Linked DNA regions of Cricetulus griseus. Each later gene encodes a partner of the first gene's protein in a complex. Links are inferred from orthologs where the notes say so. Each region holds a gene or a part of one and is shown on either strand. Other genes may lie near its edges.

Region 1 (10,326 bases):
TTCACATCACAACCAGTCATCCCTACAGGACGGAACCTGCTCAACCTCCATTTCCAGGTTGCAAACACAGGCCCCTCCACAGGGTGAGCCTCACCTTTCTTCCTGATCATAGCTTCCAACATCTTGTCTTCCTCCTCTTCCCTGGGGTGGAAAAGACAAGCTGAGTGCCCACAGCACCAGGTCATTTGTGAGTCCCTTCCTGCCTCTAGGCCCCACAGGACTGGGCAAGTGTGAGGGAAAGCTGGCAGTGAGGGTAGGGCTAACTTTCTCCCAGGCTCTGCCAGGAAGTGGCTCCACCCATGGGGTCCCAGGCATGGCACCTCTGCCGGTCTTCATCCAGGCAGTTGACAATGGCATTGCGCTGGTCGATAAGGGTCATGAATTCCTGCAGCAGCACCTTCTCTCTGGCCCGATCCTCCTCTGTCCAGTCCTTTTCTGCCAAAGGAGAAAGCCAGAGTGAGTGATGGGGAACCTTGTCTTCACAATAGCAGACACACCACCTGAGTTCCTGGGAAGACTGTAGGCCATCCATATGGGTTGAGAGGAGGGCCCAGAGTGCCACTCACAAGCTCTTAGAGAGATGAAGATAGTTCTAGGAGAAAACCAAGAACACTTGGCTATCCACCAAAAACCGTTCAAGCGATACACTGTAGAGCCAGAAATTCTCAAGGGCCTCCTGCCCACCAAACACTGTTCAAGGACACCATGCAGGGCCAATGTGCCCACCAAACACACCATTCAAGGACACTGTGCAAGGCTGGCAATTCTCAAGGGCTTTCTGTATACCAAACATACTGTTCAAGACACCAGGCAGGGACAGCACTCCTCAAAGGCTTCTGACAACAGACACTTGTTGGTGACTTGTTCTTTTTGGTTTTTCAAGCCAGGGTTTCTCTGTGTAACAGTTCAGTTCTGGCTGTCCTGGAACTCACTCTGTAGACCAGGCTAGCCTCAAACTCAGAGATCCACCTGCCTCTGTCTACCAAGTGCTGGGATTAAAGGTATGTACCACCACTGCCTGGTTGTTGGTGGTTTCTTGTGGGAAGCTATATTGGACTGGTTTAAATAGACAAGAATGGGGAGGGAATGACAAGAAACACCCAGAGGCCCACCTGCAGAAGCAGTATGGTCCAAGTCTCACAGAGGAACATGTTCCCAGGGCCATACAGGAGAGGACTGGGGACAGGAGCTCAGCCAGGAGGAGCCTTGATGTCACTAACACTTGCCACCCATCAGCCTCTTTCCTTTTCCAGGCCCAGGGCAGCCTCACAGGACCACCCTCAGGGCCCCACCTATGTCTGGTTTCTCCCACCATCTGCAGGATCCAGGACTGGGTACCCACGCCTGGTGCCCTTATGTGCTACACATCTGGAAATAAACATCTTGAAGCTATCAGGAACTGCCCCATTCCCCTATGACCTCATCTTGCCAAAACTGAGGGTTGGGAAGCCCCAGCCCAGTTCTGGGGACAGAGTATGGCTTCACAGTCACCACCCAAGTTCAAATCCTGCTCTGCCTTTCTTCTACCTAGATCCTGGTAAGCTACACTCCTAATCTACGTGTAGGAAAACTGAAGCTTTGGAAAACGAAGCCTTTGGCCAGCAATGCCCAGAGAAAGTAAGACCGAATTGAACCCAGGGAGTCTGACCTCCTACATGGTAGTCTTTCTTGGTATCTATGGACCCAACTCCCTCAGGGTCACATAAACCAGTTTCATCTTCAAAAGCAGCATCAGGGAGAAGCTAAAGGGGACAGATGACAGCCACAGCCTTGAGGCTGATGGTTTCATACCCACTCTAGTCACACTGGGCTCCTAAGTGGTGGCCATACCCCCAGCCTCCTGCTGAGTTGGAAGTGACTCACAGTTGGCAAAAGAGGCCTAGGACATTCTGTGACTTGGGGTCACCCCAGACTTCCAAGTTCCCGAGTCAATGGAGAGGCAAGATTCCAGTCAGAGAGATGGGAGACTGGTGTTGAGGACAGGCACAGGGCAAAGTCAGAGCTAGCAGCTCTTACACAAATAAAGAAACCCTGGCCTCTGGGTACATTTCTCTCTAACCTAAGCTGTGAAATATTGTGGGAAATTACCAATACGGAGTCAGGTAGAAATACAAGGGTATTTAATAGGGAAAAGCCTTTCTTACAGAGCAACCTAGCCAGCCGGCGTGGTAGAGGTCTGTACAGCAAGAAGCAAAGAGAAACCGAAACCGAAACCGAAAACGCAGTCCCACTACGTCACTCTGACCACGCCCTCACAAGCCTGGTCAGGCACACCTGTAGCCAGCCCCTAAGAAGGCGTGGCTACAGCTTTCCCTACAGTGAAATGGCAATGGCGGCCCATCACCCAATCCTGGCATGATGTCACAACAGAGGAAAGAGGTCAGACCCTGGATCCATCCATAGCTCTGTGGTCTCTACTAGCAGCTATAGATCAGTGCATCACACATACACACACACACACACACACACACACACACACACACAGAGGAAAGGGCAGTTGGTGTCATAGCCACAAACAAGGAAGGTCAGTCGTTCTTCTACTCCATACCCCAACTCATCCCTTGACCCAATTGAAGTTCCCATTATGCCTGGATCCCACAAATAGTGGGTTCTAAGAGTCAAGCTTGGGTCCTCGTACTTGCACAAGCACTTAGTGACTAAGCCACCTCCCCAGACCTTCAGAGTTTTATTTTGTTTTTCAAGACAGGGTTTCTCTACGTATTCCTATCCTGGCTGTCCTAGAACTAACTCTATAGACCAGGCTGGCCTCAAACTCAGAGATCCACCTGCCTCTGCCTTACTAGTGCTGGGATTAAAGGTGTGTACCACCACCTCCTGGTTTATTTTTAATTTTTTAAGATGGCTCACCTGGCTTGTTGAGAAGGCACCGAAGTTCAAACTCCACATCAGCCTGGCGCTGCTCCAGGTTCTGCTGCTTGACACTAAAGGGTGGGACGAAGAGGAAGTAAACACTTCGGTGAAGTACGCCCGCCCCCCGCCCTGTGCTGTCATGGCAAAGGGTGAAAGTTCCCAGGGCAGCCTGGACTCACACATAGATGAGCTCTGACTCTCGCCGCACTAATAGGTGTTTCTCGTGGATAAGCTTGAACCAGTCCACCAGCATGTTGTCCTCACTTCCCTCTGGAAGCCAGATCCCCACTGAGGCCAGAGCTCGCAGCTGAGGGCCCCATCTGAGGGCCTCCCCCCCCCCAAGCTGAGGGCCTCCCATCAACCCATAGCCCTCAGCCAGCTCCTCTCTGCAGTTCCCGCACCATTTGCTCCTCCACGCAGCTTCTCCTCCAGCAAAACACCACGGTGTTCCAGGGCATCCAGCTGGCGCTCAATAGTGTCCATCTCACCATAGATATCCTCCTCAGGGATATACTGGTCAGCCTGGACCTGCCCAACAACAAATACTCTAGTCACCTAAAGAGAAGTGGCCCTCCCCTCCAATTCACAGGGTCCTTTGGCCACTGCAGGCTCTAGGAACCCAGGTCCTGTCCCACAAGGTAGCATGACAAGAAAGCAGCATAGGAAGGGGCCAGAGAAGGGGACAGGCATGACCAAGGGTCTGACAGACTCCCAATGAGATGTCCAAGTTCCTACTCCAGAAGGAAGCCTTTCCCTTTGCTGTCACTCAGGAGTTCCTTATGAGACAGTGAGCTAGGTTACAGAGCACATTGGGGAAACCTTCTGAGAAGCATAAGTTTCTCCTAGCACCATTGCCCCTGGCTACATAGGATACCTAGGCTAATAAGTTCAACCTTCCAGCAGAGCCACCAGATGACTAAGGCTGCTGAGGGGAGGGTGCTGGGTCAGCTGGGGCTCAGAGTGTCTTGTGGTACCTTGCGTTTGATGAGTGGAAAGCCATGTCCAGGGGCAGGTGGCCTCATGGGCTTGGCTCCTTTGGTGGCCTTCCTTACGGTTGGAGATGCAGAGGGAGACGGCTTCCTGTTGAAAGGGTTCTCCTTGCAGGAAGACTGAAGGGAGAGACATGACGGATGGTTAAGTCTGAGAAGTCTGATCATACAGGAACATGAAAGCAGGCCAGGACCCAAGGAACTGGAGGATGAGGACCCAGGCAAGAACAGACTCCCCCAAGTTCCATCTCTCCACACGCATTCAGCAAACGGTTCCATTTCCAGAGTGCTTCCCAGTGTCAGTTCTCACACCATACACACTTTCTGCTCCAGAGCATGCCGGAGTAAAAAGTCTTTGTATGAGTCCAGTGTGGGAGCGCACCCCAGTAATTCCAGCACTCGGGAGGCAGAGGCAAGGACAGATAGATCACTGTGAGTGTGAAGCCAGCCTGGTCTACACAGTGATTTGCAGGACAGCCAGGGTTATAAAGTGAGACCTTGTCTCAATTAAAAAAAAAAAAAATGTAGGAAAGGGGGTGGGTTAAAGGTTGAGCTTAGAAGGTCGGGAGTTAAAATAATCAGAATGCTTTTTTTTTCTTTTTTTTCTTTTTTTTTTTTGGTTTTTCAAGGCAGGGCTTCTCTGTAGCTTTGGAGGCTGTCCTGGAATTAGCTCTTGTAGACCAGGTTGTCCTTGAACTCACAGAGATCCGCCTGCCTGTGCTTCCTGAGTGCTGGGATTAAAAGTGTGCGCCACCACCAGATCAGAATGCATTTTATATGTGTATGACATTGTTCAAAAAAAAAAAAAAACTAAATAAAGTTTAAAAAAAAACAAAAAGAGTGCTTGTCTTAAGAGTGCAAAGCCTTGGGCCCCAGCCCTGGTGCCACACGTGCTCAGAAGCCTCGCTTACTGCATGCCCACTTACAGCTGAGCTCAGTACCGAGAGGTTAAGCACCCAGCTCCTTTGTCAGGCAATGAGGTTAAAGGCCCCGCCCTCAACCACAGTTACAGTCTTCACAGCCAGCTTTCTCCAGTGGAGACTGGAAGGCTCAGAGAGGCACAGTGCCCCCACCTAGGGTCACCCAGCCAGGAAATCCAACAGTAGGACTCCTACCCTCCCTCTACCTAATAGATGAGAGGCGATTCTCCCCTCCCTACTCTCTCCTGCCTACCACAGACACATTTAGAGCCTGGCTCTGCATCTTTCTTTTTCTCCAGAGACCCCTCCCCTTGGAGACCAGGGCCCTGCCTTCCCAATAGTGCCCTTCAGCTTAAGGGAAGCAGGGCTTGCAACTGAGGCCTCAGCTTCCTTGCACCTAGTGTGTGGGGGAGGCCATGCCCTTAACCAGTCAGAACAAGTACCTAAGCCAGAGCTGGAAATGGTAGGACAAGCATTTGGTTTCATGAGGTAAGAGACACAGTGGGCCTGAGGCAGAGACTGTGTGGTCACCCACAACCTGTTTCCTGCTCCAACTGCCTCTGACATTCTCTCCTAATCCCAGAGGTGAGAGTGGGATTGGGTCCCTTAGGAAGACCCTGGGATTCTGCCCTCTCCCTCTGTATCAACACAGAGAGGGAGTCCAGTAAAGCCCATGGCCTCTGAGTCCTTCATGCTTTTTCAGCCACAGAACATTCTTTTTTTGTTTTGTTTGAGACAGTGTTTCTCTGTGGCTTTGGAGGCTGTCCTGGAACTAGCTCTTGTAGACCAGGTGAACTCATAGAGATCCACCTGCCTCTGCCTCCAGAGTGCTGGGATTAAAGGCATGTGCCACCACCGCCTAGCCCACAGAACATTCTTAAATGTGTGTCCTGTACAACCCATGCTTTCATTACAAAAGTGGAGCTGGGCAGGCTGCAGACATGGCTTAGTGGTTTTTTTGTTTGTTTTGTGTATGTGTATGTGTAATACCAAAAACAAGATTCCTTCTAAAAAGTTGTATTTTTCTCATTGATGTGCTTTGGCTTTGTCATTTTTCAGGATGGTGACAAGGATATTCTAGCCCTCTTTTGTATTGCTGGGCACTGTGGCTGGGCAATGAAGCTGGCTTGTGTTATGATAATACACGTGGGGAACCTTGGCAGATTCCATGGCAGGAAAGGATGACCGAGGCAAGGTGGTGATGGCGGGGGACACAAGACAGAGAGAGAAAGAGGACAAAAGAGGGAGACAGGAAAAGTCCTGTCTGCCCCAAGGGTACAGCGGAAAAGAGAGCGGTAAAAACCTGGCTTAGTGGTTAAGAGCACATACTGTTCTTCCAGAAGTCCAGAGTCAGGGTCCCATATCAGGTGACCACAGAACCCGTTAACTCCAACTCTAGGAGGTCTGACACCCTCTGGCTGCTACCATAGGCACTATGCTCGCATGCACAAACCCATACCTAGATACACATAATTTAAAATGAGATACCCAGAGGTTCTTCAGAACACTCTAGAAACTTGGCACTAATCAGTAGCTTACTGTCAAAAGCAGGCCTTCTCAACATCACACAACAGGTAGCAGAGCTGGAAGTACCACACCTACAACAGGAGTTGTGGCCCAGGGAGGGTCAGTCTAAGAAACAAGTGAACCTGGAACTACAGAACCCGTCAAAAGCCAAATGGCCAGACAGTGGCCCAGCTAGACCTTTCTCGTGCCCACTTTACCTCTGAGAGAAGACAGAGCCTAGCAAGGGTCTAGGGTTGGCCTGATCTGTCCTTCATAAGCATTCCCTCACAACTCATAAAAGAGGAACCCAGGAAGGTGTGCGTCCTGAGCCCCTAAGCCTGATGGGGCATTTCAGAACCTGCTGGCCAGACAACGGGCCAGTCAAGAAGAGAGACCACGAGGCCTGTGTGACCTCAGGAATCCAGGTGTCCCCCCAACACAGGACATAGTCAGCAAGGGCCAGTTGCTTCACGACTTCTTGGCAAGACTACAGTCTCTGGTGAAGGAGTCACCTTTCCTACCGTGTTTCACACCCATCACAGTTTGGAACAATCATATGCCTGTCTCCCCATGTAGACTGGGTGTCCCTAGAGGGCAAACACAGGGTCTTAATGAACATGCCCAATGCCTGGCATCAGTGAGGCCAGAAGGTGATGGGATAGACAAGGTGTGGGTGTCGGGCAGAGGTGTAGACAGACCCCACTGTCAGTAAACAGGCTGGTGAGCAAACAGACAGAGGGATGGACAGATACACAGATCAGAGTCTCACACAGGTAATGATGGGTAAGTCCACTCATTTGTGCCCCAAGACAAGCCCCACATCCACTAGCTAAAAGGCTGCTTCTGACATCCATGGAGCACTCACCTTGATCTGTAGCTGTGGGGATGAGCTCCCCAGGGAAGGGGCAGGGCTCCGGTCTCCAGCCAATAGGAAGGGGGTGGGGGTAGCACCACTGCAGGGCTTGGTGGCCTGAGTACTTGGGCTGCCTCTGGTCCTGGCCTGTGGCATTTGTTCACCACTAGGCTGCCCCTGTTCCCCAGAAGGTGATAGGGAAGAATTGGCCGAAGGAGTGACAGAGTTCCCAGATGTGCCAGGGGTACCAGGCATGTGCACGGCAGGGTCTGAGGAGCTCTTGGGTACAGCAGGCGGCTCCAAGGGCTCTGCATTGGCAGTGTGACTGGAGCTCTCAGAGGACAGGCTCTCCACACTAAGGGCTGGCGATGGTGTGGCTGAAGGAGGCTCTGAGTGTGACAGGCGGGAGGCATGAAGAACTGTTGGAGCAGAACAGCAGAAACATTCAAGCGGTGGATGGGACTTCTGTCCTCCCCCGACACACCTTGCTCCCAGAGCTGGGGTAGCCCTGGACACCAAGCTCTTCCCCATCCGGATAGGCAAGAGGTCAGAGAACACCAATCCTATTCCAGATCCCACATCACAAAGGCACTCAGCCATCCGACCCCATCTTGTACCCCTGATGCTCTAGTGTGCCACCTTGTGGCACATTTATGGCCCTAACTTCCTACCCAGAAAGACAGCTGCCTTCTACTCCCCCCTCCCATGTGCCCCATGTTCCTCTCACACCCAAGCCCACTCAAAGGCAAGCTGCTGGGGCAGATGAAGACGCAAGTACAGGGAAGGCAGGGAAAGGAGGCTGGCCTCCGTCTCTGGCACAGAAACTGGAAAGAAGGCAACAGCAGAGAGTGGGGGCAGCACCTGCAACAGCCAGTGCTGGCCCAGGCACTGCCAGGCACGGCTTTCTCCTTCTGCAGATGACATGGACTATGCCTCCACGGCCATCATTGTACTTCCTGGATGAAGTCAGATTCAGCAAAGGATTCTCCCTAGCTAGGGTCATCTTTAGACACAGCATGGTCCAACTTGAGCTCATGCCCCCATTACACCAAGCTCATCCAGCAAGAGGACCCAGGGCACAGATAGCAGAGCATTTGCCTCTAACTGTTCCTGGCAGGTGCTTGGTCCCACAGAGCTTTCAGCCACACCCCTAGGAGTGGGAAGGGGACCAAGAGTTCAAGACACATCTGAGGTTGGACCAAAACAGCATGCTGGGGCAAAGGGACCTGGAACTGACCCCCATCTCACACATGAGACAAAGGCCAGATGAGGGAAGGACCAAGCCCTACACAGCCAGGTAGGAGCCAAGCTGCTCAGTGGCTAGAGAGACAAGACACACGGAGGCAGGGTTCAAGTGAACCCTGCCTCATGCCTTTCAGAAGCCCAATGGAGGGCTGTGCCACGCCCTCCCTGACTTCCACACTGAATTGGCATAACAGGAAATGTTAAAAGCTGGGGTTCAAATCCTGCCTCTGCGGCTTCAGCACTGTGCCTCCCCTATGAAGTGGCAATAATGCCACCCTCTCCCAGCCTGCTGTAGGATGAAATGGGAAATCATACACCCACATTGTACAAAACATAGCAAAGCCCCCTGCACCCTCAGACCTAGCACTCACCAAGTGGGGAAGCACTAGGTGCTCTCGGGGCAGGGCGCTTCTTTGTCTTGGGGCTGCTGGTGGGGGTGATGCCATACCAGGGGTGTAGGGGCTTAGGCGTAGACTCTGGTGGGGCTGGGGCTGGGACAGGGCCTGGTACTGCTGGGGCTGACTCCTCTTCCTCCTCTTCCTCCTCAAAGGGGTTGTAGGGCTTGGGATCTGGCTCAGATACTGGGCTCTTCTGGGTCCTTTCTTCCAGGCCTCCATTCTCCACATGTCTGCTTAGTGGCCCAGGACTGTTGCTGGGGGGCAGTGGGGCTGGCTTCTTCTTTGGCTCTGTCTGCACCAGTGTGATCCATGGGGGGTCCTTCCTTGGTGCTGGCATCCTACAGGGAGGCCAAGGCAAGGGGTCAGCCTTCTGCCCTCTAGGAAGTTTCAGTCTGTCCCAGAGGAGGGTGACACTGCCCCCTCTGCTCTCCCAAGCCTAGCCCCAAGGTCAGGCCAGACACACATGGGTGATGGCTGTCACATCCCAATAGGGCACCTTGAAGCCCGAGAAGACAAGCCTTCAATCACACAGCTGCTGTCAATCCAGTCCCCAAAAAGGGACTATGTGACATTTAATGATGTCACCCATTTCTCTATGCCTCAGGCTCACCTGCTCTTTGGAGGCTTACCTAACATTCCATTTCACAGGGTCCAGTGAGTTCTACATCCCACCCAAGTGTGGTCACACACCAGGAACTGCACAAATACTCACTAGTAGGACACTGTGGTCCCTTACCCCTCACAGGTTGACCATCCTGACGAGGACAGCTCTCAAAGAGCTAGAAGCATGTCCTCCCCAGAGTGGCAGGCACAGCAGCTTTGCTTGTCCGAGCCTATCTGTATTCTATGAACAAGGCCTAGACTCCCATGTCATGCAGGAAGCACAAGCTTGAGGAAGCAAAATGACTCTAGAGGTGGCTATCCCCACTCAGAGCACAGGTCAGGCAGATCCGGGACACAGCTTTCCTTCCTCACCCAGAAGGAAACCTCCCTGTGGGCCCAGCAAACCCTTTCCCTACCTGGGCCCTAGAAACCCCCACTCCCACACTGAGGCCTTTCAGAGCCAGCATACCTCTCTGACAACTTGGGTGTCCCTCTTGGCCTGGGAATAGGAGGTTCCTGAAGTCTTCCTAGATGTGAAAAGACAATGAACCAGGCCTTCAATGGTTGCAGAGAGGCACCAAGAACCAGCCAGAGTGCTGGCTTTGCAAGGAGTGTCCTTGTGCCCTACCTGGCATGTCACAGACCAGGGTGACCACAGCCCAGTCCTAGCCAGCCCTCAGGGAGATTAGATAAGGTGGAAGGAGAATGGGAGAATGGTCAGTCAGAGGCTGCAGGCAGACTTCTGGCAGGCCCAACTGCATGTTAGCTGACAAGTACCAACCCAAATCCCTTCAGTCACTTCCGCTATACCAGGGTATCTACCCAGGTGCCATCTCCACTTGGAAACCTCCCTTGACTCCAACTCGCTGAACCCCACTCGGCTTTCTCCCATCTACTCCAGCAGTGTTTCTACATTCTACATTCTACAATCAGTTACGGAT
Region 2 (10,326 bases), on another chromosome or scaffold:
GAAGAGCATAATTGAGATGAAAGTTAAAGTCCAGAAGCCACTGACCTAAGTTTATAGAAAATGGCAGGCTCTGTATGTGTCAGACATGCAGCTTTCTTTTTGAATCCTAGGCTGTGACTCCAGGACATAATCACCACATCTGCATCACAGTCCTCAGAAAACCACAAAAGGCTCATGCACTTTTTCACACCCTTTTTTAATTTTTAAACTTTATTTGGTGTGCATGAACACATGCCACAGTGCAGTTGTGGAGGCAAAGCAGACAGCTTTCTGGAGCTGCTCCTCTTCCTTCCTCTGTGTGTCCCAGGATCATGCACCGCAAGTGCTTTTACCCATTGAACCATCTTGTTGGCCCTAAATCATACTGTTTTTGGTTGTTTTGTTTGAAACAGTTGGATATCTCTTAGGCTGACCTCAAATTTGTTCTGTAGCTAAGGGTCTTTCTGCTTCTGCCTCCCAAGGTTTCCAGCATGCAGTAACCACCATGCTTGGCTAATAGTACTGTTATTAATGGAGAAATTTCAGTTATGTCTCTGTCATAGATGACTCAGGTCACTTTTTTTTTTTTTTCCAGACAGAGTTTCTTTGTGTAGTCCTGGCTGTCCTGGAACTCACTCTGTAGACCAGACTGGCCTCAAACTGAGATTTGCCTACTTCTGCCTCCCAAGTGCTGGGATTAAAGGTGTACGCCACCACTGTTGGGCCTCAGATCACTTTAATTGGGTTGGGAAACAGCACAGAATACGAGTTAGGACTGGAGTCTACCCAAGTCAGCAACTTGATTTAGAGAAGCATTTAAGACCCACAGAAAAAGGAAGTGGTCTATGGTACTTTTTAGGGCTTGTTGGAAAACAGAGGTCAGTAGACCTTCTGGGAGTGTTGGGAATTGGTATTGTCAGCTATGTAGACCTTTTAGTTTCTGTTGCAACAATTGAACTCAACTATTACAGATAAAAATTGGCATAGACATGTAAATGAATACCTTTGTTTCAATAAAACTTTATTCATTCATACAAGCAAGTGATGGGCCAGTTTTAGTCCCTGAGCTTGCCGGCCCCTATTGTAAAAAATAACTGAGGCTTGCACAAGGATCTGGTGTTTATAGACACAGGTTAGATAGCAGTTACAGGTGTGAGTGCTATTGCTTATTGTCACTACTGTTCAAGGCACACAACTGGCAAGTCTATCTCTGCATTATTACTGTGCTGAGCTATCATATAATCTTAGTGGCTTGCTTTGCCTGAGAAACTGTACGTGTCATATGGGTAAAAGTACCCCTTGAGGCTGGGCATTGGTGGCGCATGCCTTTAATCCCAGCACTTGGGAGGCAGAGGCAGGCAGATCTCTGTGAGTTCGAGGCCAGTCTGGTCTACAGAACAAGTACCAGGATAGGCTCCAAAGCTACACAGAGAAACCCTGTCTCGAAAGACCAAACAAAAAAAAGAAAGAAAAACAAAAAACAAAAAAAAAACTACCCCTTGAGGCAGGAGAGACCAACGAGTCTGCCTTTGGGCTGCTGTACTGTTCAGTTCAGAGCATTTTAGGAATTTACAAAATAACCTCCAGCCTAGAAATTCCAGGCCACATCAGTGCTCAGAAGCACTAGGGAAGCCTTGGGGCCATGCTCAATCCTCTCCTCCCTCAGGTTATGACTTTGCGGCTGTCCTGGAGTGGTTTGCTGAGCGCGTGGACCGCATCATCCTGCTCTTTGACGCCCACAAGCTGGACATCTCAGACGAGTTCTCAGAAGTTATCAAGGCCCTCAAGAACCACGAGGACAAGATCCGTGTGGTGCTAAACAAGGCCGACCAGATTGAGACCCAGCAGCTGATGAGAGTGTACGGAGCTCTCATGTGGTCTCTGGGGAAGATTATCAACACCCCCGAGGTAGTCCGGGTCTACATTGGCTCCTTCTGGTCACACCCATTGCTCATCCCTGACAACCGCAAGCTCTTCGAGGCAGAGGAGCAGGATCTCTTCAAAGACATCCAGTCTCTACCCAGAAATGCTGCCCTTAGGAAGCTCAATGACCTGATCAAGCGGGCCAGGCTGGCCAAGGTAGTCCCTGTGGCTGGGTGAGGGGATTGGCTGCTGCCAGATAGGCCCAGGGGCTCTGGGACTGGCACTTGGGGCCCAGTTTTTACCAAACATATATCACTTAACCTGTGTGTGAAAACCACTGCCTTGTGTACCCACTGTGCAGCCTGCTCTTGACTAAGGTCTTTAACCTGTGTCATCTCAGCCTGTTCTCTCTGAGTCTTATGCCCCACCTAGATCAGAAAATGCAAAGAACATGCATTCGCCTTAGAAATGTCAAACAGGAAGTTACTACAGAACAAAGGAGGCCACCAGGAAGTGGAATGTGCTGGCCTGGTTGGCTTCAACAAACCCCTTGGGTGGGTGTGTGTGTGTGTGTGTGTGTGTGTGTGTGTGTGTGTGTGTGTGTGTACTAGTGTGCTCAGCTTGGCACTGAACAGTATGGACTCACAGGGAGTGACACACACAGCACCATTCAAGCCTTCGTGGGAGAACAATGTACATATGAAGCAGAAACATTGGTGATTTGGTGTTGCTGGTTAAGGTTCTGTCTGAGAGGAGGACTGGGGAGTCATCATGGTGGGATAAAGGGACCTGGGAGGCCTGCATGGGACTGGTGTGTAAGCTGGGACAAGAAGTAGCTAGAAAAAAAGATGGGTGCCAATCTGTGGCCCAAATAGTGCTGGATGCTACAGTCCAGACCCCTGGTGGCTGCTTTCTGCACAGACAATATAAATACCCTTTCCCATCGGTGGGAATGTGGGCCACATCCAGGTGCAGCACCACCTTCTGAGGTCCTTAAAGCCCTGGAACCTTAATGGCAGCTAAGCCTATGTGAGAGCCCAAAATGGCCTGAGCTAGGGAGTGGAGATCAGTGCCACCTCTGGGCTTTAGGGTATCCGAGTTTCTGCATCATGGGTTGCCTAGATAAGTCACTGGGGGGGCTGTTCAATGATGGCTCAGGTGACCCTTTGAATAGGAAGGCTTGACATGGAGTGGGTGGTGCGGTAGTGACCCTGTCCAAACACTGTTAACAGGGTTCCCATTGTCAGACTAGTCTGGAGGCTGAGGCAGGAATATACCTTGAACACTTGGCCTGAACAATTGTCTCAAAACACAAAAGTGGGTTTCTGCCTGGCCCCTCCCTTGAAAGGAGTTGACTCAAGAGACCTGTCATGTGAGCCACCTAGTCTCCAGAGAGACATCTCAGAGGGCAGGGTGTTTACAGCTGACTGGGGCACATGGAGAAGTACCTGTGGCCATTGAGACAGTCACTTCAGGAGCCTTCCCAGCCATCCCTGTTCCATTGCTGTCTGCATACTAGATACCAGGCACGCACCTCTGCCTCAGGGCCAGTCATAAAATATTTGGGGGGTTCCCTGGCCAGGGCAACCTAGGCTGATGCTTTATCCTTCACTACTGCCAAGTATCTGCCATTGTCACTCAAGTACCCCGGCTGACAAGGTAGCAGGGTATGGCATTTCCCATCCTCTTTACAGGGTACAGGGGTGGGTTTTTTGTTTTTTTCCAGTATCTCCAAATGCCTGTGTATGTAAGGTCTCCTCATGAGCTGAGCCTAGCAGTTCTGAGAAAGGAACTAATAAGAACTCTCATGTGACTGCCCAGGCTCCTAAAGGAGCTACCAGGTAGTACACAACTCTTGAGGCTACAGTGTCCACAACTGGAAATCCTACCGTCTCCAGTGCTGTTCCACATGGTTCATATACCACTGCTTGCTTTTCCTGGAGTGAGAGTGACTCATTGGCTTGTGCAGGCAGAGCTGTGACTGGCTTTGGGTGACCTGCCTACCTTGGCTTTCTTGGGAAGGCCTTGACACCAGTCCCAGGACCCGGGAAGGGCTGCTCCTCTTGGATGGTTTTGGGCCATCCAGTTCCCTGGACTGGGTAGGTGCTGGGGGCAGTTGAGGAGAGCTTTCATTGAATTTTCTGGTTCTGAGTTGTCCGGGCCTATTCTGGTGACACCTGGCTTATTGCTCAAGTGGGATTGGGACTCCTGAGCACTGCACAGACGCATGCTGGGATGAGGCTTCCCCACCACTCAGCTCTTGGTGGCTGTCATGTGTGTTGTATTGTTGGGAAGGCAGTGCAGGGAGAACACAGGTAGAAAAATGGGCAGAACTGAATTGTAATTCTGTACAAGAGTGTCATCTGTCCTCTGTTTGAAGTGCCCTTTCCCCGCTTCCATTCCCATGGCATTGAGCCCTTGTCATACCCCTTGTCAGAATTGTGTGTCACTCTTAGGCCTTTGGGTTCTTGTGATAGTGGCTTCACCTTTTAGCTTGACTTTGACCTTTCTGCTTCCCTCTACCCAAGCAGTGAACTTTAGGCACTAGAGGCCTCGAAGACCCTGAGGGCAGTGTGCCAAGCAAGTCTCTGATGCCCACTGTTTCCTGTCCCTTCAGGTCCATGCCTACATCATCAGCTCCCTCAAGAAGGAGATGCCCAATGTCTTTGGGAAAGAGAGCAAGAAGAAAGAGCTGGTGAACAACCTGGGAGAGATCTACCAGAAAATCGAGCGGGAGCACCAGATTTCCCCCGGTGACTTCCCGAGCCTACGCAAGATGCAGGTACAGTCTCCAGACCAGATTCTGAGCGCTCTGTGTGGGGCTGAGGCAGGCCCAGGGTGCTGGGCAGTGGTTCTGGAGGGAACCACAAAAGGAAGCAGCTGGGTTAGTCACCAGTTCCCCACCCGAATCAGAGTTGACCTAGGTCGAGACACTGACACAAAAGAGGGGAATGTGGTGACTCAGCCTGGGGGTGCGGCATGGCTGTCGATGAATCTTCACTGCGGCCTGGCGAGGATGGGCACTGCTGTGACCTCATGAGCAGAGTGAGGAGCCCGGCCTGCAGCACTAGCTCAGCTGCCTGAGCTGCCAAGTGGGAGCTCTGCTCTCCCTACTTGGGCAGCCTGGCTGAGTCCACTGCGTCTGGAGTCGAGGAGGCTGCCCCACCAGGCTTTTCTTTCTCCTCCACTCACAGGAACTCCTGCAGACCCAGGACTTCAGCAAGTTCCAGGCCTTGAAGCCCAAGCTGCTAGATACAGTGGATGACATGCTGGCCAACGACATAGCCCGGCTGATGGTGATGGTGCGCCAAGAGGAGTCCCTGATGCCCTCACAAGCTGTGAAGGGTGGTGCTTTTGATGGCACCATGAATGGGCCCTTTGGGCATGGCTACGGCGAGGGGGCTGGCGAGGGCATCGATGATGTTGAGTGGGTGGTTGGCAAGGACAAGCCCACCTATGATGAGATCTTCTATACACTGTCTCCTGTCAATGGCAAGATCACTGGCGCTAATGCCAAGAAGGAGATGGTGAAGTCCAAGCTGCCCAACACGGTGCTGGGGAAGATCTGGAAGCTGGCTGATGTGGACAAGGATGGCCTGCTGGATGATGAGGAGTTTGCTCTGGCCAACCACCTTATCAAGGTCAAGTTAGAGGGTCATGAGCTACCCTCTGACCTTCCTCCACATCTCATCCCACCCTCCAAACGGAGGCATGAGTGACAGCCATGCCTGACATACCCCAGCCCCCAGGGCTGCTGGCACTTTCTACCCGCCAGCTCCTTGCCTGCCTATGTGGGCCTGGGACTGGAGGGGCAGAGAGGGGGAGGGAAAGGGTCACCATTTTTCAAGGTCCATAAAGACTGAGCGGTGTTTCCTCAGCTCTTGAATAGGAAAACCACCATCTTTCTTTTAAGGCTGTCCGGGGTTCAGTGGGAGGCATGGGTGATGCTTGGATGTGAACAGTGGGATTTTGTGCACAAGAACCATGATATTTTTAATATATAATGTTAGGGGCAGCCTTCTTTCTTGCCTCTTCCTCTGTCTGACAGCCCCACACTCAGCCTCTCCCTACCCCAGCCTTGCCTTCTGCCTTGCCCTGGCCAGGCAGCAACAGGGACTCTGGGGAACCCCTCTCACAACCTACCCTGGCACACTCTTGTGGCAGCTGCCTCAGGACTGTGCAGACAGGAGAGCCCCCGCCCCTGCCCCCAGCTCCCTCAGTTTGTTTTTAGACTGAGGTTTATTCATGGGGCAGTAGCTGGCTTTCTCCTAGTGCTTGAGTAAGCTGTTCCACATTTCTGCTGTGGTCTGGGGGGCATGCCCTCCTTTACTTCCACACCCTGTCTCTGACATCCCAGCCATCATAGCAGCCACAGGTAGAAGACCCAGCCACTGTTAACTTTTGTGGGGATTGGAGAGGTTAGAGACAGTGTCTTCCAGGAAAATACATAAGCTAGGTATTGTTCTGTGACACTTTATACTTGACCCAATTTTCCAGTAACTCCCACAACACTTGTTCAAAGCTGTGATTTTTGTTTCCCTTTCCTATACTCCAGCCTTGGATCGGTTCCACCTCACAGCCAGCATAGAGCAGACCCCTTGGGCTTGAGTTGCCTTCTGGCTGAGGGGAGGTCATCCCAACTCCTGCTCTGAGGGGTCTGAGGGGTCTGAAATGTACTCGCTTAAAGTCAACCTTCATGGCAGCTTCCTGGAGCCCCTGACTGCCTTGGGGTGGGCAGTGGGCCCTGTGACCCGGGGTGGTGTGCTGGTAAGAGGAAGCCTGTGGCCTGGTCTGGGTGTAGTGTCCAAGCAGCAGGATAGGGGAAAACCCAACCCCTTCCCTCACCCTCTCATTTCCTTCCTCCCCTCCTCCCCTGCTGAGCCAAGGAGGTCTGGGTGTTCTGAGATCCCCAGACTGAGCAATAAGAAGCCAGAGCTAGCAAGTGACCACTTTGGCCACCTCACTGCAGCCTCAGGGACCTGGACACGCCCTATGGCCAGTGGTTGGCTGTCAGGGTGGGCTTTACACTGAGGTGGTGGAGCAGCTGCAGCCTGCTCATCTGACACTGCCGGTGGGCTTCAGGGAGCTGCCTGCCATCACCCAGCCCTGCTCTGGGCCTTGCTGGGGCTGAGCTCCAGCCTGGCCTGTTAGCTCCTTGCCTCGGCCTTCCATCCCTGCTGTTGGCTGAGGGTAGGTGAGATGTCCTCACAGGTCCACTATGTAACGTCCAGCTAGCTCGGTCCTCACCTATGGGGAGAGTGGCTGAGTGAAGACTTTGTTCCTTACATTAAAGAAAGTTTAATTGTGCCAAGGCTTTTTGTGCTCCATTGTCTTTTCCCTGGCCCTGGAGCCTTTGCAAGGGTCCCCCAAGGAGCCCACGACCACCCACCTGCTGTGCAGGGTTGAAACTGGCAGGACTATCTGGAAACTGAACTTGATGGTGCACATTCATAGTCCCAGCACTTGGCATTTGGAGGGAGGACCAAGAGTTCAAGGTCATCTTGGACTATATGAGGGACTGCCAAAAAATCAAAACACCAACAGAGATTGACAGCAAGCAGAGTTTTATGTTGGGCCAGCTTCTGCCATCTCCACTCAAGAGTATGTTAGCCACAGACTGGTTAGTATGTTTAGGATTGGGAGGGATCTTCCAGGGCTCCTTAGCCACCTGACTCCTCACTTGCCCCAAGGCAGGTTTGGAGACAGCCCAGCCAGCTCTGAAGACAGACAAAGCAGACAAAATCCACAGTTCTGGGTGGGGTTGGTTACAGCCAGCTGATGTCACAGATAGGGGACCTGTTTATGACAAGAGAGGAAAGGATGACAAATTGGGAGTGACATGCCCGGAAGGGTGCAGATGGGAAGTAGGGCTGGGGAGAGACTCTCTAGGCAAGGTTAGGACAGAAGTAGGGACAAACAGGTGTTTATCTCTGAGCTAGAGCTGCCTCCAGGGTCCTGCTGCAGCTAAGGCAGGCCTGATAGTCCAGGCGCCATAGACTTGACACAAGGTAGCATGGTTTGCCTGAGTTCTGTGTTCTTCTATTTTCAGATTAAGGGCCCAGGACAGGGCAACACATGCAGCAATGGTAGCCAAGGGGATTCAAACTCAAGTCCACCAACTCTGGTCCTGTTCTTGAGGCAGTTCTCAGGGAAACAACTTTTAAAGCAAAGACTGTGTCTGGATTCCCAGCTCACCTCACCCTCAAGCCACTTCCCAGTCTCAAAAAGACTCAAAGCCGCCATTCCACCTGAGGTTTTAGAAGCTTGGGACCATCTGTCAGCTTTCAGAAATGCCCTGCGCTTGCTCAAGCTGTCAGCACCAAAGAAAACAGGTCCAAGCAGCTCCCTTGAATGTGGTAGGACCCAGCTTCACCCCAGCTGTGGGGCTCATGGTATTCTGTCCACTCAGCCCCATCCCTCTCAGGTGATTTCCCCCAAAGGATACCCAGATGGTGCCCACTGAACAAGAAGTTTGAGGGAGCCAGGTGGTGGCGGTGCCCACCTTTACTCAGGAGGCAGAGGTAGATAGATCTCTGTGAGTTCAAGGCCAGCCTGATCTACAGAGTGAGTTCCAGAACAGCCAGGACTGTTTCACAGAGAAACCTTGTCTCAAAAATAATAATAATAATTAATTTAAAAAAAAAAAGATTGAAGGGGGCTGGAGAGATGGCTCAGATGCCTGTTCTTCCAGAGGTCCTGAGTTCAATTCCCAGCAACATGGTGGCTCACAACCATCCGTTATGAGATCTGGTCCCCTCTTCTGGTGTGCAGATATACATGGATGCAGAATGTTGTATACATAATAAATAAATTCTTTCTTAAAAAAAGGCTGTCTTGAAAACACACACACACACACACACACACACACACACACACACACACACACACACACACACACACACACACACACACTCACACACCAAAAAACTTTCTTAAAAAAAAAAAAAAAAAGATTGAAGGAGAGCAAAAGCAGGCATCGCCTGACTGCTGCCCCTGAACTCAGGTAAAGTGTTTTGGTTCCACAACTTGAACTCCTTTGGGCCATGTGGGATTGAAGGAGAGATGTCCACCTGTAGGGCTGGCCCTTACCCCTTTGCTCCCTTGTCTCTTGTCACCTTGCTCCCTTGCCTCCTTTCTAGTTTCCTAGAAGCCAAAATCTATCTAGAAGCAAGTTCCACCCTGTTCCCAAGCCCTAGGATAAGAGGCCTTTAGGACTGTCTGTCATCCCTGCCTGTCATCTTAGTCTACAGCACCACACCAATCTGAGACCAAGGAGGCAGGGAACCACCTCTGTGCTGCCCATGCCAGCTCTGTAGTATAAGGAGGGTTCTTGCAGGACCATTCTCATGGCCAGTGGGCTAGTAAGAGGACAATGGGGACAGAGGGATGGAGAGAGGACTTGGCAATCTAGAGCACTGGTTGTTCAAGAGTCTCCGGGTCTGATTGCCAACACTCACATGGAGGCTCACAACCATCTATAACTTCAGTTGCAGCAGATCTAACACTGGCTTCTAAGAACACTTCTCGAATGTGGTACACATACATGCAGGCAAAACACCTATACACCTAAAATAATCTGCACATATGCTTTAAAGCTTGTATGTATAGCACTCATGAGACACTGGGTTTAATCCCCCAACACTGCAAATAAGTAAATAAATGAATCAGTTGCTAACTGTCAGCTTCAAACAGCAGAATTGACCAAGCAGCAGCATGTTTAAATTCTAGCTCTGTTACTTGCTGGAGCTGAGCCTGGTTTTTGCCTTCTAAGCCCATTCTTTGGGCTCCAAAGAAACCTGTGCTCAGCTTCCTCCCCTGAGCACCTTGGGAAGGGATACTCAGGGTTGTAGAGGATGTGGGGAACATGGTACCCCACCCAACACCCAGAATAAAACGGGACCCACCCTTCCCTGAAGCAGCTCAGACAGGGTGGCGCCCATGAGCTACAGGGGTGCAAGGTAAGGGGGCTCTGGCCTGGCTTCCTGTGCACCCAGAGAGAGGAGTAATTGCAAAACCACATGGGCTGCAGCTGAGCAGAGCGTGGGAGCCCCTGTGGTGAGCTGGAGCAGCACAGGGGAGGGTTTGAGAAGAAAAGCCAGGATGATGAAATCACCATATGTCCACCCATTTGGAACATTGGACATTTCACAGGAAATACCCGTAGTGTGGCCGGCAGGGAAGTGTTATGGGAGCTGACACAGGTTAAAATTTGAGGGGTCTCCACTGGCCATACAGAAACCTTCAAACAAGCCCTGAGCAGCAGAGGCAGGGCTATTGAGCTCCCCAAACCATAGCTATTCCTAGATAGAAATGTCAGACAGGCCAACAGGAGCCCCATGCCACCTCATTTTCTCTAGTATCCAAGCAGGTGCCCCTCTCCATTATATGTAAAAAGTGATCAGAGAGAGGGTAAGGACTTGCCCAAGGTGTTACACCTGGGCCACAGCAAGCAGACCTATGCAACCTGGTAGGCAGCCATTCTTG

Evidence for each region.
Region 2: the proteins of Micall1 (region 1) and Ehd1 are in contact, whole or in part, in an NMR structure (PDB 2KSP), measured with the Homo sapiens proteins. The link is inferred for Cricetulus griseus from reciprocal best matches to the Homo sapiens genes MICALL1 and EHD1. Residues at the interface, in NP_203744.1 of Homo sapiens: Lys422, Tyr424, Asn425, Pro426, Phe427, Glu428, Glu429; in NP_001269373.1 of Homo sapiens: Gly464, Ala467, Lys468, Met471, Asn478, Leu481, Gly482, Trp485, Lys486, Lys492, Asp493, Gly494.

The regions. Positions count from the first base shown.
Region 1 is NC_048595.1:376,243,442-376,253,767, reverse strand, and holds part of Micall1 (MICAL-like protein 1), read right to left. Parts: intron 9,913-10,326; coding exon 9,855-9,912; intron 9,121-9,854; coding exon 8,756-9,120; intron 7,559-8,755; coding exon 7,152-7,558; intron 3,981-7,151; coding exon 3,846-3,980; intron 3,400-3,845; coding exon 3,273-3,399; intron 3,142-3,272; coding exon 3,051-3,141; intron 2,943-3,050; coding exon 2,869-2,942; intron 436-2,868; coding exon 321-435; intron 142-320; coding exon 95-141; intron 1-94. UniProt on the Homo sapiens protein: Lipid-binding protein with higher affinity for phosphatidic acid, a lipid enriched in recycling endosome membranes. On endosome membranes, acts as a downstream effector of Rab proteins recruiting cytosolic proteins to regulate membrane tubulation.
Region 2 is NC_048596.1:53,053,021-53,063,346, reverse strand, and holds the end of Ehd1 (EH domain-containing protein 1), read left to right. Parts: intron 1-1,645; coding exon 1,646-2,058; intron 2,059-4,459; coding exon 4,460-4,624; intron 4,625-5,036; coding exon 5,037-5,561; 3' UTR 5,562-7,154; downstream 7,155-10,326. UniProt on the Homo sapiens protein: ATP- and membrane-binding protein that controls membrane reorganization/tubulation upon ATP hydrolysis. In vitro causes vesiculation of endocytic membranes. Acts in early endocytic membrane fusion and membrane trafficking of recycling endosomes.